Linked DNA regions of Arabidopsis thaliana. The protein of the gene in region 2 interacts with the protein of the main gene of each other region in a pairwise test. Each region holds a gene or a part of one and is shown on either strand. Other genes may lie near its edges.

Region 1 (3,861 bases), on a different chromosome or scaffold from region 2:
TAGATTTACGATCAACAATTAAAAGAAAATTTAGAAAGTTAAGAAAGTAACGAATACTTTGTAAGACGTGTAATCGAGTTTATCTCCAAAAACTTTAGAATTATTCCTAATCTACGTTATGATTTCTAACCAAATAGATTAGCGATGAGATCAAAAGTAGTTTCTGAAGATATGTTCTTTAGCTTCTTCTGTCAGTTGTCAGGTCTTAGAGAACCGAGAGATAATGATTTCCACGTAGGATCTTACGTGTGAACAAGCCAGAGTGGGTCCCACATAGTTGCTTCTTCTCTTATTTTTGGCTTTTCATATCGGTTCGAAGAATCTTATTTAATTTGATACAAAATAAGTAATCAATAAGAAAATAAGGGAATACATTACGTGGAAATTTTTTGAAATTCACTCATAAAGTTGGAATTAATGGTCTTTTTGGGGGGGGGAAAACGTGGAGGGTAAACGAATATACAAAGTAAGCAAGTAGTATCCGTGTAAAGCTTTTCATATCACCTAACTTTTTTCCATTTTCAATCATTTATGGTGAAAATTTGTGAATATTATAACAAAAAATTATTTAGGTAAATAAAAAATGGCTACTAGTAAGTGTGAAAAAGAATATGGAATGAAATGAGAATGTAATTTAGCTCATGAATCTTTGATTATATTGATTGCAATTCTTAAAACCTTCTCTTCATATTGATACTATGTAATGAATTATCAAAACAGAAAAATAATATATACGAAAACAAAAGTAAATCCATTATCTGAAACGTGTCTACCTCATTTTGTTTTAAACGAAACAATATACTTATCGTAAATAAAATCATTATACAATTTCTCTATTTTCTACAACAATCAAACACAAAAGAATTTTACATAATATTTCGAAGAATATTGGATTTTTAAATGGTTAAAATCTGAAAAGGAACTTGAAAAAAGGTGAAGAAGATCCACTAGCTTCCTTGTGACGCAAACTTTAACCGCCTTTGAGTTCTCACCTCTTTCCATTCTTCTCCAATAGCTTTCTTCACTTTCTCCAATTAATTTTATCTTGCTAACCAAACAACCCCTTAGTTTATTAATTTACAACCCCCCCACCCCACTTTTTACATCTACTTGTATGCGGTATACTCAATAAAAATTTCTGAAAATGGACCACATTAGGACTTGGGAATATTAGTATGACCACCAATATTCTCATGTTTGATATGGCTGCAATTTCTTCTTTTTGTTTGCATGAATATTATTTAGTACTTCAAGTACTGATTCCATGCTTTTTTTTTTTCCTTCTAATTCAACATGAGTAAAATATAAATTATTTTATAAGAAGATATGTTGGCAAAAGAAAAGAAGTGGTAAAGAAGGCAAACTGGCCTTTCAACTTGCGCTAGAATCAACTAATGTCAGTTTTTGGCTCTTACGATTTTTGAAATTATTGCTGAAAAGATTATATTTCGGCGATTTTATTTATTAAATATAGCTCCAAAACTAGAGTCAAAGATCATATGAGAAGTTAAAGAAAATTAATTCCGTCTTTTTGGTGTGTGTGTAACGTGTAAACCTAATTAAACTATAACATGCTCTCTTTTTCAAAAAAAAATATAACACGCTCTTCACATATAACATGAAATCAATATAAATATATCCTTAATAAACACAATAGAAAGTGAAATTGATATTTATAGTTATTGCGAGCTAGTATAGTTATGATTTTTTTTAAAAAATTGAGCTGGGAATTTTTGTAAAATTTAGAACTCTTAGTCTAACCATGATAGATGATTGTTTTGTCACACACGTACACACCATAAAATCGTATTATATTCCCTGGGAACGGCTTAGATCCATGGAATAAAAGATTTTTATCAAGCTGACGAGAAACAAATCGTCAACAGAACAAAAGCATCTAAACAATGTAATTATTAAATTTAACATTCTACTGAAGAAATTTATATATAATTTTAAAATGATAATGATCTCAATGGGCGGCTTAGCTTATGGTGTTATATAAGCAAAGAACTTGGCATCAAGCGAAACCAAAAGCGACAGAAAAAAACAAATATTTAGAAACAAAAAATGCTATAATTCTTCCTTTTTCTTGTTCTTTCAGAGATTTTGATTTCTATTCAATCGACTAAGAGGGTGTGTTTTTAATCCCTCTCTGTTTTAATTTTGTTTCCTAGTCTTTAAAGATCCATGGCAGCCATAGATATGTTCAATAGCAACACAGATCCTTTTCAAGAAGAGCTCATGAAAGCACTTCAACCTTATACCACCAACACTGATTCTTCTTCTCCTACGTATTCAAACACAGTCTTCGGTTTCAATCAAACCACATCTCTCGGTCTAAACCAGCTCACACCTTACCAAATCCACCAAATCCAAAACCAGCTTAACCAGAGACGTAACATAATCTCTCCAAATCTAGCCCCAAAGCCTGTCCCAATGAAGAACATGACCGCTCAGAAACTCTATAGAGGAGTTAGACAAAGGCACTGGGGAAAATGGGTAGCTGAGATCCGTTTACCCAAGAACCGGACCCGACTCTGGCTTGGAACTTTCGACACAGCTGAAGAAGCAGCCATGGCTTATGACCTAGCTGCTTACAAGCTAAGAGGCGAGTTCGCGAGACTTAATTTCCCACAGTTCAGACACGAGGATGGATACTACGGAGGAGGTAGCTGTTTCAATCCTCTTCATTCCTCTGTCGACGCAAAGCTCCAAGAGATTTGTCAGAGCTTGAGAAAAACAGAGGATATTGACCTCCCCTGTTCTGAAACAGAGCTTTTCCCGCCAAAAACAGAGTATCAAGAAAGTGAATATGGGTTCTTGAGATCTGATGAGAATTCGTTTTCAGATGAGTCTCATGTGGAATCTTCTTCGCCGGAATCTGGTATTACTACGTTCTTGGACTTTTCGGATTCTGGATTTGATGAGATTGGGAGTTTCGGGCTGGAGAAGTTTCCTTCTGTGGAGATTGATTGGGATGCGATTAGCAAATTGTCCGAATCTTAAACAAAGCAAAGAGAAGACTTTTTCTTTTAGGAGTTTGTCTTTCAATTTCAGTGTCTTATATTAATCTCTCTGCAACTGAAATTTTTAACAGTTGCGGAGAGAATCGTCTCTAGGGTTTGTTTCTCTTCCTCCATGTTTTGGTCTGACTGGTTTATGTCTTTTTTTTTTTTTTGAACTTTCAAAAACCTTTGTCATTGACCAATCGGAGAAGTTTCCATGTATTCTCTCATCTTTAAATTTCTAATGAAGAATGTAAATTATTAGTCTTTTGCTGATAGTGTTTTTGGTCATTATAAAAATAAGGTTTGCATGCTGATAAAGTATAAAATTCATTTATTAAACAGTTTCAGAGAACTTGCGGAAAGATAATTGATCTCTTCTGTCAAGGATTTTTTAAGAAATTAAACTTAATGTTAATTCTCCTTTTTTATACTTAAATCATTCTTGTAAAATGATTCAAAAAGACATGATGGGAACAAAATTTGGATCGGAAAATAAAATCTAATATGTTTCAACTACAAAGCAAAATATCATTTGACGAAATTTGAAAATGTATTCCTGCCGAGGAAATTCCAAAAAAGAAAAACAAATCAAATAATTATAGAACTTTATTCCGGCGATAATTCAAATAACTTATGCTGCATTTGTGTGTATTGTGGACGATAGAGGTCCGTTGTTGACATATGGGAACACATAAGCCACAAAGTTCGATGCTTTAAGGTAAAGAATCTTACAATAACCAACAATTGTGGCAAAGATTAAAACGTTCATAATATATACACTATACAACTACTTTAAAGTCTGTTTTTTCAAATATTATATTTAGAAAAAAAAATAAACAAAGCAGCCTTAACC
Region 2 (3,412 bases):
GTTGAAACTGTATTTATCCATACGTCTATCTAAACATGTATATATACCATTTGAATTTTTCAAAAACATAATATATATACATATAGGAATTAGGTTATTGACTTATTGTTTATCTTACAATATGTTAAGTTATTTGATATAGAAAATTATTGTACAACTTTATACAGGTCTTCTAAATTACCTGAAACGACAACAAATTTATTTCATACTAGTATATATCATATAGCATATATAGCTTTCACATTCGTCTGTAACTGGTCTTTCAGAAAAATTGACTCTATAGAGTCTACTAGCTATAGTTATGATTGTTCGCATGATTATATTATTAGTTAAAGTGGAGACAATCGTATTAATCGTGTGATAGCCGGCAGAAGAAAAAATAAATCGTTTTATCCGTTAAAATTATATATATTTTGTTTTACTGTATTTTTCTAGTTTTTAACTAAGTTTTATCTTTATATAAATAATTATAAATGTTTATATAATGTTTGATATACTTAAATAAATATTTTATCTAAACTTTGTTTGCGATTTGACATTTTTAACATTTTTGATAGATATTTATATATTTTCTATAATTTTAATTTTTAACTGTTTCTAAACCTTAATAATAATTAATAGATTGTGTGTGCGTTTTTTTCTTTATTTTATTAAAGAAGTAATAGAAATAATTCAAACATCACCATTCAATGATGGGTGTTTCAATGGAAGAAACTACCAAATCTAACCAATAAACGTTGGCATCTATTCACCTAAAAGTAAAAATTGTAGAGCCTATATTAGTCAAAGTGATCCATGCAGATAATTTATTAGTAGGTCTTTCGATATTAATGTTGATATATACTAGAGCCTATAGAAGTCAAAGTGATTCCATTAAGATAATTTATTAAGTAGGTATTTGGATATTAATATTAATTATCAGAATTATGTATGGAGCTACATAATGTGTAACCGCTCAGAAAACGCGGCGATTCGACCAAACTCTGTTACCACAATGTCTCCGCCACGCGATCACACTTTTGCGCTTGCATGCGAACGTTGAAATTCGAACCTCTCATCTCTCTATTTACCATTTTACCCTCTAGTAATTTCGTTTTCAAAATTTACTATCTCCAAATATTTTGGCAGTCCATTATTAATTGCCGAACATTAAACTGCGGTCTAGACAAAAACAAACGGCGGTCAGATATAAACAACTAACCAAAAAAATAAAATACTTGACTGGTTTTGGACATTTTCGTCGATGATGATCACGCGCTACGAATGAGAGCCAAAGACAAAGCTCAACGGGCTTCCATATATATTTCATATTTATTAGTAACTATTTTCCCCAAAAAAAAAAATATATATTATTAGTAACTACAAACAAACAAACAAAATGTATAAACCATGAAAATTAAAGATTTTAAAATTTTATAACTATACAAATAGTATGAGAAGCTTTGTTTATTTTTATAAACACATAATAACAGTTTGAAAAAATTACTTACCTAAATAAAGGTAATATTCTCGTAATTTACTAAAATAATTCATACAAAATATAAAAACAATTACAAAACTCTTCTTTTTTGGGCTCTTTACATCTTATTTATACTTTGAAAATTACGATATCCATTTAGAGAAAAATATAACATGCACGTCACAAATTTATTTATTTTTTGAAAAAAATTACACACAAAGAAAACGACAACTTCGTTCCTTGTTAATTGTTATGATCTCTCCGACCAAACCCAAGCAGCTTCTCCCTCTTAAATACCTCTTCCTTCTTCTAAGATCTCTGGACCATTCTGTACTTTCCCTCAAACCCAAAACACATTTTGTTTTTTGTTTCCCATCTAAAATGCGTATGAGTTGTAACGGATGTCGAGTTCTACGAAAAGGCTGCAGTGAAAACTGTAGCATAAGACCTTGTCTTCAATGGATCAAATCCGCTGAATCTCAAGCCAACGCCACCGTCTTCCTCGCCAAGTTTTATGGCCGTGCGGGGCTCATGAACCTCCTCAACACCGGTCCTGACCACCTCCGTCCTGGTATTCAAACTTCCCATGCATGTTATGTTTTTTGTTTGTTATGGTTAATTGCGAAGTTCTGGACGGAATCTCTCATACATCTTTTTAGGAAACGTAGGATCCTGTTTATTTTTCTAACATGCATCTAATAATTTGGTAATTTTGTTTGTTTTTGCAGCGATATTTAGATCATTGTTGTACGAAGCATGCGGGAGGATTGTGAATCCGATATACGGATCCGTGGGGTTATTGTGGTCAGGAAACTGGCATCTTTGTCAAGCGGCCGTTGAGGCAGTAATGAGAGGCTCACCCGTGACTCCGATCGCATGCGACGCAGCGGTTACTGGTCAAGCACCTCCTTTTAACAACAAGCTTTGCGACATAAGACACGTGTCAAGCAGGGACGAGAACGTTAAGAGACGGAGCCGTGGTGCATGCAAGGAAGAGAGAAACGTGAGGTCTTTGAGTCATGAGTCGTCACTGAGTCACGAGTCACCGGTGTCTTCTGAGGAGACGACGACGGAGGAACCAAAGACTTGGATCGGGCTTGAGCTGACTTTGGGGTTGGAGCCTTTAGCACGTGGAAATCACGTGGTGGTACCGATGAAGAAAAGAAAGTTAGAGAGGTGTGGCACGTCTGAGGATGAGGACACGTGTAAGATTGAGCTTGGACTGGTGTGCAGTGAGTGAATGGTTCTTTTTTTGTGGCTGGTCTTAATTACAAGTTTTGGTGTTGAGTTTTAGGTGTACAAATAGAGATTAACGAATCTCTCTTTTTTCTCTTTTTGAGTTTTATGTTTTGTTTTGTTTTCTTTTGCATGTTCGGTGTTCTTCATAAATATGTATGATGAATGATAAAGAGGTCTTAACTTAACAAATCTTGGTTCGGATCGACATAACAAACATTTCTTCTTTCCATTCTAAATTCTTGATTTTACTCATGTACTTAAACAAACGATGCAATTGATGTAAACACGTTTATCCCAATAAATTTTGTATTTTATTTATATAAAAAAAAACTTAACAAATCTTCTATTTCAGAAATATCTGGGGTTAGATTACAAAGAATCTAAGTTGCTTAATGATGAAATCTCCATATGATGATTAGTCATTCATTTATAAATATTTTGTCTCAAAAAGCCCTTTTGTATGTGAACCGTGTTACCAAATGACTCAGCAGCTAACATGCATGTGTGTTAGATTTTTGTTCTCGAAGGATATGTGTAGGAACTTAATTAGCTAGAGAAAACGAAAAGGATGAATTATTTTAACTAATTGGGTCGAAATGTGTATTCAGCAGAAAACATAGCCCAACTCTTTCGGACTTGAATCCTGTTTTGTCCATCTATCTTCCCCCCCTATACACTCAATTCTCATACTATCAGATATGCTAAAATAATTAA
Region 3 (6,366 bases), on a different chromosome or scaffold from region 2:
CTTGATTCTTTTCAGTGTAGCTTATTGTCTGAGATATTTCGCAACTTATGCTGGCATTTTTTCTTTTTGCAGGAGTACAACGACAAATTACTAATAACTTACCTAGCGATGATTACAAATTGTTCCAGGTTTGTACCTAATGCAACATTCTAAAGTATTTGAAAGCAAGTATATAGGCTAGCGAATGCTCTTTAACTAGTGGTTCTTTAGGAACTGTGAAAGATACGGTTTTCACCGGGCTGGTGGATTCTGTTATATCAGTTAATAATTTTGTTTGCTCAATCTGCAGCAACATGAACGAGATGGTCGACAAATTCAACACCGCATATGACAGAAACACTCGAAGAGGTGGAAGAACTGCATTCATGTAAAAGATCCTTTCCAGCGATTCTAGTTCTAAAGATCTTCTCTTGGTTCCTGAAACCATTTTTAACATTGCCTCTGTGAGAATCTATAACTCAGACGGCAAGACTTTATCCTCTTCATTGTTTCTATATCTATAAGAACATCTGCTTATCTATCAAAGCTCTTGTTTGATCTTGAACAAGTTTCTATTGTTAGTAAAAAGATTTTAAGGTTTGATTCTATCAGTCTCTCTAGTTACATCCACATCAGTCTCCAGTTAGCAATTGCAGTATTGCTACACAACACTCACTTTTTTCTTCTTTGTTGATTTCAATATAAGATAAAGAACCAGTAAAAAAGAAGACAAAACCAAGGAATGAACAATAAAACAGCCTTTACCTTCCCCAAAGTTTGAAACCAATAAATGAAAGAAGAAGAAGAAGCAGAAATTAAAAGTTATTATAAGGAGTGACCAAATGCAGAAGAAGAAGAAGAAGAGTAAATTTCAAATCTGAGGTAATCTACTCATGATCTGGTTATATACCGATTGTCCTGAATCTGAAACCGGTTCAACCTTTGGTTCCATCCCTCTCTGCATCATTGCTTCACTCATCCCAACCGGTTGTGTCATATACGGGTGAGGCAAACCCGGCATTTTCCCTTGACCATACGCTAAACCAGGCATTGAAAGATTAACCAAACCGGTTTGTCCTAAACCGAAGGAGAAACCAGAAGGAGGACCCAAATGTGGCTGAAAGCTAAAGGGACGGCTAAAAGGAGACTGATTGTTAGTTGTGACTTGTCTGTCGAATCTCCCACGTGGCGGCTCTGAGTGATGACCGTTGTGGTAATGGTGAGAAACTGCGGCTGAACCGCCGCTGTTACCGTTACCACTATCACCACCGCCTCCGTGGCTGCTGTTGCGTGCAGCGGGGACGTCATGGTTATGTTTGCCTTCGTAAGTTGTTATAACGGATTTGAGATCATGAGAAGCTCTTTCAACATGTTTCCTCACTGTACATCCTGGAGCTGTGCATTTGTAATAACTCCTAGAAAAACATTATGAAAACGTTATAAAAAAAGAATTGGTCTTGTGATTGCCGATAAACATATAAACAGAACCAGACCAAAACAGAGGAGGGGATTATAAAGAACCTTGGATTTGGATTGCCTTTGACAACTTTCTGACCATATTTTCGCCAGCGATAACCATCATCAAGAATGTCAACATCACTCGTTGTCTGCACAACAACTCTTGGCTCACGTATGGCTCTTGTTGATCCACTCATCTCTGCTGCAAAAGCTTCTAGTTTCCTGTAAAATCAAAAAGTTTTTGAGTCTCGTTTACTGAGTCATCGAGGATTCGGTGTTTCGATTGCTAAAACAAACCTTCTTTTCGACTCTGATTCATCTCCTTCTCCTCCCCCACCTCCTCCTCCTCCATCGTAACCCAAAGAAACACTTCCATGTGTCCCTCGATCATCTTCATCTTCATCATTAGAGAATGTTGAAGAAGCATCAACCACAACCACAGGATCACCTGACTCGTATTGACCTCCGGTTTGAGCTTGAATTGATCCAGATTGGTTTCCATACTCGAATCTCGTAGATCCCTCTTCGACATTGTTCTCATTGCTTCCACCTTGTTGTTGAGTGTTATTACAACTAACCCACGTTGCAGCAGAATCTCTCTGTTGTTGTTGTTGTTCAACTTGTTCAGTTCCATCTACTTGCATCCCTGAGCGGCGATTAGGTGGAGGTTTAAGATGATTATGAGCTCCTTTGTATATAATCTCTGTGATGTGACCTTCCCTTGATCTCTCAACTTTCTTCTTCACCTGACAATTCGGGTTTGTGCACTTGTAATAGCTTCGCGGATACTCACTTCCTTTGACCAACTTTTGTCCGTATTTCCTCCAGTTATATCCATCCTCTGCAGGCGCACCACCAGCCATCGAATCACCGCGTCTTTGCTCTTCTTCTTCCTCTTGATGATCCACGGTTTCAAGACTGGTGTTTGTAGTGACATCAGATGTCTTGTTCTGCCCGTTTTGATTGTCAGTTTCAATCCCATAAAGATTGGAGCTTTCTATGTTTTCAGAGCCAGGTTTTACTTCTTCTGCGGATTGATGAGAAGAAGATCTATTGTTGTAGTTACCATAATCAACTGACATCATCTCTGTTGTGCCTTGGAAGAAAGAGGAAGATGATCTTGAAACAGGATGGAAGCTGAATGATGCTCCAATATCATCAAAGAACTCGTCTTTCGCTTTCTCAGAAGACAATGCATTACCATTAACACCAGGAAGAAATGGAAATTTCCCGGTAGTTGGAGAAGGTTGAGCCTGCAAGGTCACCGAGATATTCAGAAAAAATAGCTCCATAATAACATCGAAAGAAAGCAAACCAACTTGTAGCTTACCAATGGGTTAGAAAGGAAAACAGGAGATTCCAAGAGTGTTGCAGGGCTAAGGCCAGGAGAAGAGATGGTTAAGCAAGGAGATCGAAGGTTAGAGTCAATGGAAAAGTCGGTGTTGGTGCGGATATTCTCAGTGTTCAACCTTGGAGCATTAAATCCAGCTCTTGCAGCAATTCTTTCACTGAGACCACCTCGAAAAACATTGCTTTGTGAAGAATCCTTGTTATGATTACTACTAGTGTCTTCTTCTAAACCAATAACTTGACCATGATTCAAAGATAACTCTCTTTCAAGAACACGTTTCGAGCTCTTCTCTTCTCCAATAGCAGAGGAGAAAAGTGTCCCGGGACTAGGACTACGAGGCACCCATTCTCCCATCACAGCAACATTTTCATCAAAACCAGCCATTTAGTATCCAAGAATTTGGCTGAATCTCTGATCAAACTGTGATGAAACTCCTGAAAATATGATAAAGAATCACAAAACTTCAGATTACTACCAAAAAAACAATAATCTAGCTAAACACAACGATGATTAGAGACAAGTGTCACTAAACCAGTGAGCTTAAGTTTCTCAAAGTTTAAAACTTTTTTATTTCAAAGTGGACAAAAAATATATAAAATAATTCATTCAGACAAAAGAAAAAAATGTAAGAAAATGAAGGACTTTTTCTTTTTCACACGTTAAGCCACTTTCATGGAATCTCACAAAATCAAAACATAGGATTTTAGATTCTAACGAATTAGCTTCGAGAATTTTGGAAATGAATCAAAAATGATCGAGCCACGAAGATTAAAAACGACAAAGAGAAAGAAAAAAACGTGTGATTATAGCTTAACCCAGACTGTAAGCAAAAAGAACCTAAAAGGAGACGATTAAACAAATCAAGGTTTGTTCAAAATCCAGAATTTAAGTTAAAGATGAAACATTTTAATCATATGAAAATGGAATCACAAAAACTCGATTGTGACTATTTACCTGATTGATAAAAGAAGACGACACACAAACACCGTCACAGCCGCCGCAGCCGCAAACTGAAATCCTCAGTTCCGTCGCTAACATCCAACTGTGCTCTGATCCGAACACCAAAAACCGAAAACCCACCCGACCCGGATCCGAATTTAACACTGATGAAGGAAAAAAGAGAGATTTTGTTGAAAGCCGGAGAGAAAGAGATATTTTTTTCTTCTCCTTCTTCCTCTCTCTGTTCTTCTTCTGGGTCTCACAGAAAAAACCCAGAAAAAAAAATCAAAACTTTACAACTTCTCTCCCCTAAATAAAATGATGATTGATTAAAAACACAGTCGGATTAGTCTAATCTTTGTGACGAGAACATTTTCATTGCGTATGTTGAATTCTAAGAAATTCAATTAGTCGGCAAAAGAAATGATTTTGATTTGTGGGCGAGAAGAGGAATCTTCGAAAGTGATAAAAGATATAGAGAGAATTATGAGACCATTTTTGATCGATTTGTTTACTAAAGAGGAAGAAGGAATAAAAAAGTTTTTGCAGGAGAAATGGTGAAGATGATGACGATGATGGGGGTGATTCGTGTTCTAACATACACGAAGCGTTTTTTCTCATAATTGAATTCACCTATAAAAACACGCCACGTGGAGTAATTGGAGTTAGAGAATTAAGATCAACGGTTGATAAGTAAGAGGTACGGTGAGGTGTAACACAGGTGATCTCTAACGAATTATTTGCCAACTTTTCACATTAATTTCTCTTCCATTTTCATTTTTTCCGGATTGGTTATTAATAGGAAGAAAATTAATTTTAAAAGGAAATTATTGGCAAAAGGTTCTATTCTGCCACATGTCGGATTTAGAAAATTATTTTATTACAGTGAATATAGTCTTATATTGGTTTGATTTGATTCATATGAATTGAGAAAGAAAAAAACTGAATTATCTCTTTAAGGACAAGGAAAAGAAAAAAAGTTACATATAAAGCAGGTTGTTGTTTTTTACTATAAGTGGTCATATTAGTTAGAAATTTGTGGAACAGAAGAAAATCTAATCTGCAAGCTATTTATAGTCTCTGTGTGTAGTAACTATGCAAGAAAATTCAGTTAAAAGGGGAAATGTTGTCAAAATATTTTCACCGCAGAGAATAAAATGTTTAACATAGCATTTTTTGAGAAATCCAGGTATTTTGAAGGATAAAAAAACAGTTAAATTTAACAGAAAGTATACTGTTAGGTCTGATATGTCGATATTACAAGTTTCAAAAAAATTAATTGAGTAGAATTATAGTTTTTACGGTAAAATTATAAGATGCCAAAATTTATTTTTATTAGTGATTGAAAATGTTGATTTCATCATACTATTTTACTAGTATTATTTTTTGTCAACGACCGATTGGTTAGTGATGTTGCGAGGACACTAACAAAACCAAATTATGATCTAGTATTTACTATTTTAAAATTTAATAATTAGTAATTTTATTATTTTAGTTAGTAAGGTTATGGCAAACAAAGTAAATAAGTAGATATTTTCGTGTATCAAATTCTATTTTAAATTTGAATTTTTTATGTTATTTTTTTCTTGTTATCGTTTATAGTGCTCGATCTTTAAAGAGGATAGATAATAAGTTATGTATTAGTAACTTGATACATGTATGTACACTTACATCCAAAAGTCAAAATGTGTTTATGTAAATCAGTTTTAAGTTATGTAACAACAACAATCACCCTTAATATTTAATTAGTTTTTTTTGGTATCAGTGTTAAGTAGAATATTTAATTGTTATAAGATATTTTGACCTAACCCAAATCATCGTTGAGTCGAAAGACTAGAAGTTCAAACTAATATATGAAACTAGAGTAGAGACGCAACATAGATCTATATGGCAACCAAATCTTTCGACTTCAATCGATAAGACGTATAACAATAATATATTGTTTTACAAAAAAAAAAAAAAAAAAAACAATAATATTTGAATTTGACATGTTCTCATACATGCATGCATGTGATTTGATTTTAAAACTATGCATTTTAGATGAAACGTATTAACCTAATTAAACTGCAATATAAGGAGATACGTTTACCAACCATTGTGAAATTCAGATATTCAAATATAGATTGAATCTAATATATATAACACCTATTAAGTAGTTAAGTACTGGTTAAAGAAACCTAAAATAAAATCATTAAACGAACTAAATAACATCAGACAAATATTCTTTACAAATATATGAGATACGTTAACGCTTATATCTTTTCTTTTCTTTCTTACATGTTAACGTTTATAGTCTGAAAAGAGGAAGAAACAAAATGACTAACGTGCGTTAAGGATGATCTAATCTAATTGTATGTAGAGACATTTAATAAAATTGGGAATAATCAATCAATGACTTTTAATTATACCTTAAATTGAATATTAAATTGGAAATTGAGGAGGCAGTTTTTCCAAAAAAAAACGGTCAAAAAAGAAACATTGACCAAGCCTCTTTTAGTATTTTGTTTTTCGCTTTCACTTTTATTCTTCTTTGTCTTTTTACGAGCCGCAAAATATCCCGTTACGGAGCTGTGACCTTACACTCATGTGACAGCCAAAGCACGGTTGTGGCGTGGTGTACCTTTTTTTTTTTTTTTTTT
Region 4 (3,929 bases), on a different chromosome or scaffold from region 2:
AGTGCAAAGAGAAAGACCAGCAGAACAAAGCTGTTTCAGAAATTGATGATGTTTCTCGTTTGCCTTTATCAATGGTGAGGACAAAAATCCCTGTTACGTCATGTCACTGATATGTTTTTGAGCTGATGAAAAACAGGTTCTGAATGTTTTTTTGTTGTCTCCTTTTCTTTATCCACAGGAAAGCTGCAGAGAACTGTGGAAGGCTGCCCAAAAGTTACAAAGCCAGCTCTCTGAGATCATCGATTCATGTGATGAAACCGTGGTTCCATATTCTGTATCTCCAGGATGTGAACTCGAAGGTATAAGCAAAGGATTATGCAAAGAGGATCCCAAAATGAAGACTCCTCGTGGGAATAATGGATCTGAAAAACCCTCCACACAGCTTGAACAGAAGGAAAGAGAGAAGTCTTCCAAAAAGAAACCTCAGGTCAAGAAAACGAGAATCAAAAGTCTCAGAGACATAGGAATAACAGCTGTGAGGAAATCGCCTCGATTCAGCTGATGATACTCATCAAAAAATGCTTCCGGAGAGCATGATATCTCATAAAGGTTAGGTTGTTATTTAATATCAGTATCTACATAAGTGCAACATCTTGAAGAATTTGAATATAAATTTTTAGTTTTCATATAAACTTCTCATGAAAGAACAAGAATGTGCCTGCTAATGAGACATTGATGCTAAAAGCTATTAACATTCTACAATCTTCTTTTACTACTAAGAGCCAGGGATGAGTTGAGATGAGACTCTTCTCTCTGGCACATCACAGTACTACTAGCAAACACCTTTTTTGGTCTCTTCCGTTTTTACCCCTGTGGAGCAAAACTCCAATTCAAGAATGGTTTCTGCTCAGGCGGATCCTGGAAGGAAGTGAAATAATCAGACTGATACAAGAACTGAGGGACAAAAGCGTCAGGCTGCAACAACTCCATGGAACTACCAAACATTGAAGTATCAAAAGCTTCCAAAGCATCCTCAAGCTCTCCCCATTTAGGCTCGCTCTGAACCTCCAAAACATCCGGTGACACCACGTGACCGTGACCACCTGAGCTGCTGGAATCATCCTCTTGCAATGTCGGGTAAGTCGAGTCTGATGTATCAAAAGGTGATGATGACTGTTCAGCCATTGTCGTGGTCCTCGGCTTCTCATCCGCGGGGAAATACTTCTCCATGGTTCCTTTCTTGTTGTATATTCGACATAAAACCCAATCATCAAGCTGTACAGCAAAACCCACCACAACAAAGTTAATAATCTAAATCATCATTCACGAAAAGATGATACATAAGTTAATAAGAAACAGAACTTACTCGTAGGTTGTTCTTTTTGTTAACAGAAGCTGATCTATCAACATTAGCGAGACGATACTCATGCATTATCCAATTGGTCTTAATCCCTTTTGGAGCTTTCCCTGCGTAGAAGACGAGTGCTTTCTTGATACCCAACGTCTTCGGTTTACCAATCGGTTTATCTGCTCCGGTAGCTTTCCAATAACCGGTTCCTGCTGCCCGGTTAGGACGCGAACCGTTTGGGTATTTCCGATCTCTAGGTGAGAAGAAGTACCACTCTTTCTCTCCGTACAGAGACATCTCTGAAAGAAGAACAAACATCTCAATAAACAACGATTCTCGAAGACACATGATTTCGCGAAAAATAATTAGAAGAAGCCCATAGGTGTACCTGGAAGCTCCCAAGGATTGAACTTGTAGAGATCAATCTCGGCGATAACCGGAGCCGAGATCTGCTCGGAAGCACATTTCCGGCACAAGTAGAATTTCACAAGCTCCTCGTCCGTTGGATGGAATCGGAACCCAGCTGGTAAATTTAGCTCCGACTTCATTCTCTTCTTCTTGTCTGTTGCTCTTGGAAAAATCTCTTCTTCGTTGGTTGAAAATTCAATTTCAGCTGGATCTGGATTTTTTTTGGGTTTTCTTCGTCTGCTCAAGATTGTAATCGAGGATATGTGAGTGAGGCGACGAAGGTTTTATAAGGACGAAAATCGCCGAAATGTTTTAATTAATTTAAATTGAAAAAACACAAAAAACAGAAAAGAGATGACACGAGGGGATTTTCAAGCACGTGCGGCAAAACAGACCGTTTTCTTTTCTACGCTGACCGCAGCCAGCTGGATATATACGTGGCGTAATATTATTGGATAGTCGACTTAGATGTTGTCATTGCTTGCGTCACTTAAACCTTTTGTGAATTGTTGACCGACTTTAGACCATCTCCATTGGGAAAGAGAGTGTAGAAAGTTTCTTACTTGAGAAACTTTGAGATACTTTACAACCCATCATGACAATTCTCATCTTACTATTGGTTCAATTTTTTAACAAAAATACTTTTTTAATTAAATAATTAAATTATAATATAATATTAATATTTTTTTTGTTTGAGAAATTTTGTGGATTTCTCGTAGATGGAAATGCCTTTATATGTCAAACCGTAATCTCCTGCTTCTCAGTGTAGCTTATCGCTTTTGTTCCTTTACTTACCACTAAGATTTACCACTAAGATTTAAAAAGAAAAATCTCAGCAGCCACTACTTTTTTATGATATTGAAATTGACACATTATTGTAACCTTGCTGAAGATAAGTCAGCATTTCTTGGGGCGGAAGTTGTAGTTTTGACTGGTGATTGGACAGTTTGATGAAACTACGGTGAGCATCTCCGCAGCTGATTAATTTCCTTCTTCAGGCGAAGCTTTGCGTCATGATGGATGACGTCATTTAAAGTTGCAATCGCCAATCATAGTCACTAATTATAAATACTCTCGACTAATAATACTACATTCACATAAATAAAAACATTGGAGTTCGCAAAGAAAGCGTTTGCGCTTTAGTTTGAGTTTCCCCGTTACATAAAAATATGTGTTAAGGACAACTATTTAACCACTAGCTTAATCCTTAATTAAGTACCCATTGAGCCGCTTTCATTACAGACTTAATTTATAATTCATAAGTTTGATTCACTAGCAAATAATGCCCATGAATCCTCTTCTATTTTAAAATCTTTAAATGTAAAGTTGAGGTAGGTGTGTATGCAAGCATGACGTGGGCTTGTTCCCCGTTTTATGATCATCATCACTTACGTTTTCTATCATATTATAAACTAATTATGATCGATTCAACGTAATGTTTTATAAGATCATGGTCTTTTCCTTTTACTATTAAAAGTCCCTTAGTAGCCAAATTAATTATAATACGAAATATTTGTGGTCAAACATGACTTTTTGTTGTTGTCAATAAGGATTCTTTATCGATATAAGAATGCAAGTTATATAAGTCGTATCATTTCATACACATCTTTTAGGCTTTTAGCTAAATAATTTTCGTGCACTGACGACTTCATTTTTTTCTGTCGTTTTAGATGATAACAGTCAAGTCTAGAATAAAAGATATGACCACTAATATTAAACCAAAAAAAGAAAACAAGAAAATATATAAAAGACATCGTAACGCATGATTTGTTCCTATTATAAAATTCAGATCAATTGGATCTGGACTTGATCTGAATTTTTATGATAAAGAGAGAAATCGACTTTATAGTTTTTTTGCAGTTGTTTGTTAATTTAGTCGCGGTGTGAATTGAAATAGGAAGCTTCGTGGAGCTTGATGTTATAGCTGCCGAACTTGACCCAAATTATGCAAATATAATGTTTTGGTGATGGATTATTACCTTTATGTTTTGTCGTTTCTAGAAATTTACATTGGAATATACTTGAGAATTTGGATAAGGAGGAGACAACTTGGGACCTCATTGTCGGAACTTAGAACCTATCGTTAACAACAATTAGTATCACATATACTACATACTATTCTCTATTCATATGACTACTTGTCTTATTCTTATGTGCGTGCGTATGACAAAAGTCTTACTATATAACATTCGTTTGAAACCGTGCATATATTGTAGTTAATTCTAGCATTTTA

Evidence for each region.
Region 1: the proteins of LBD40 (region 2) and AT4G39780 interact in a two-hybrid assay, tested with the Arabidopsis thaliana proteins (one large-scale study listed by BioGRID).
Region 3: the proteins of LBD40 (region 2) and WRKY2 interact in a two-hybrid assay, tested with the Arabidopsis thaliana proteins (one large-scale study listed by BioGRID).
Region 4: the proteins of LBD40 (region 2) and ATAF2 interact in a two-hybrid assay, tested with the Arabidopsis thaliana proteins (one large-scale study listed by BioGRID).

What each region holds. Positions count from the first base shown.
Region 1 is NC_003075.7:18,457,361-18,461,221, reverse strand, and holds AT4G39780 (Integrase-type DNA-binding superfamily protein), read left to right. Parts: upstream 1-1,964; 5' UTR 1,965-2,187; coding exon 2,188-3,006; 3' UTR 3,007-3,316; downstream 3,317-3,861.
Region 2 is NC_003070.9:25,051,961-25,055,372, forward strand, and holds LBD40 (LOB domain-containing protein 40), read left to right. Parts: upstream 1-1,712; 5' UTR 1,713-1,840; coding exon 1,841-2,030; intron 2,031-2,187; coding exon 2,188-2,699; 3' UTR 2,700-2,904; downstream 2,905-3,412.
Region 3 is NC_003076.8:22,777,622-22,783,987, reverse strand, and holds WRKY2 (WRKY DNA-binding protein 2), read right to left. Parts: upstream 4,375-6,366; 5' UTR 3,743-4,374; intron 3,223-3,742; 5' UTR 3,173-3,222; coding exon 2,768-3,172; intron 2,691-2,767; coding exon 1,735-2,690; intron 1,660-1,734; coding exon 1,501-1,659; intron 1,395-1,500; coding exon 851-1,394; 3' UTR 562-850; downstream 1-561. Other genes in the region: CSN6A (COP9 signalosome subunit 6A), read left to right, coding at 73-128, 290-371. UniProt on the Arabidopsis thaliana protein: Transcription factor. Regulates WOX8 and WOX9 expression and basal cell division patterns during early embryogenesis. Interacts specifically with the W box (5'-(T)TGAC[CT]-3'), a frequently occurring elicitor-responsive cis-acting element.
Region 4 is NC_003076.8:2,858,309-2,862,237, forward strand, and holds ATAF2 (NAC (No Apical Meristem) domain transcriptional regulator superfamily protein), read right to left. Parts: upstream 2,251-3,929; 5' UTR 1,837-2,250; coding exon 1,677-1,836; intron 1,588-1,676; coding exon 1,307-1,587; intron 1,216-1,306; coding exon 805-1,215; 3' UTR 541-804; downstream 1-540. Other genes in the region: AT5G08780 (winged-helix DNA-binding transcription factor family protein), read left to right, coding at 1-74, 179-502.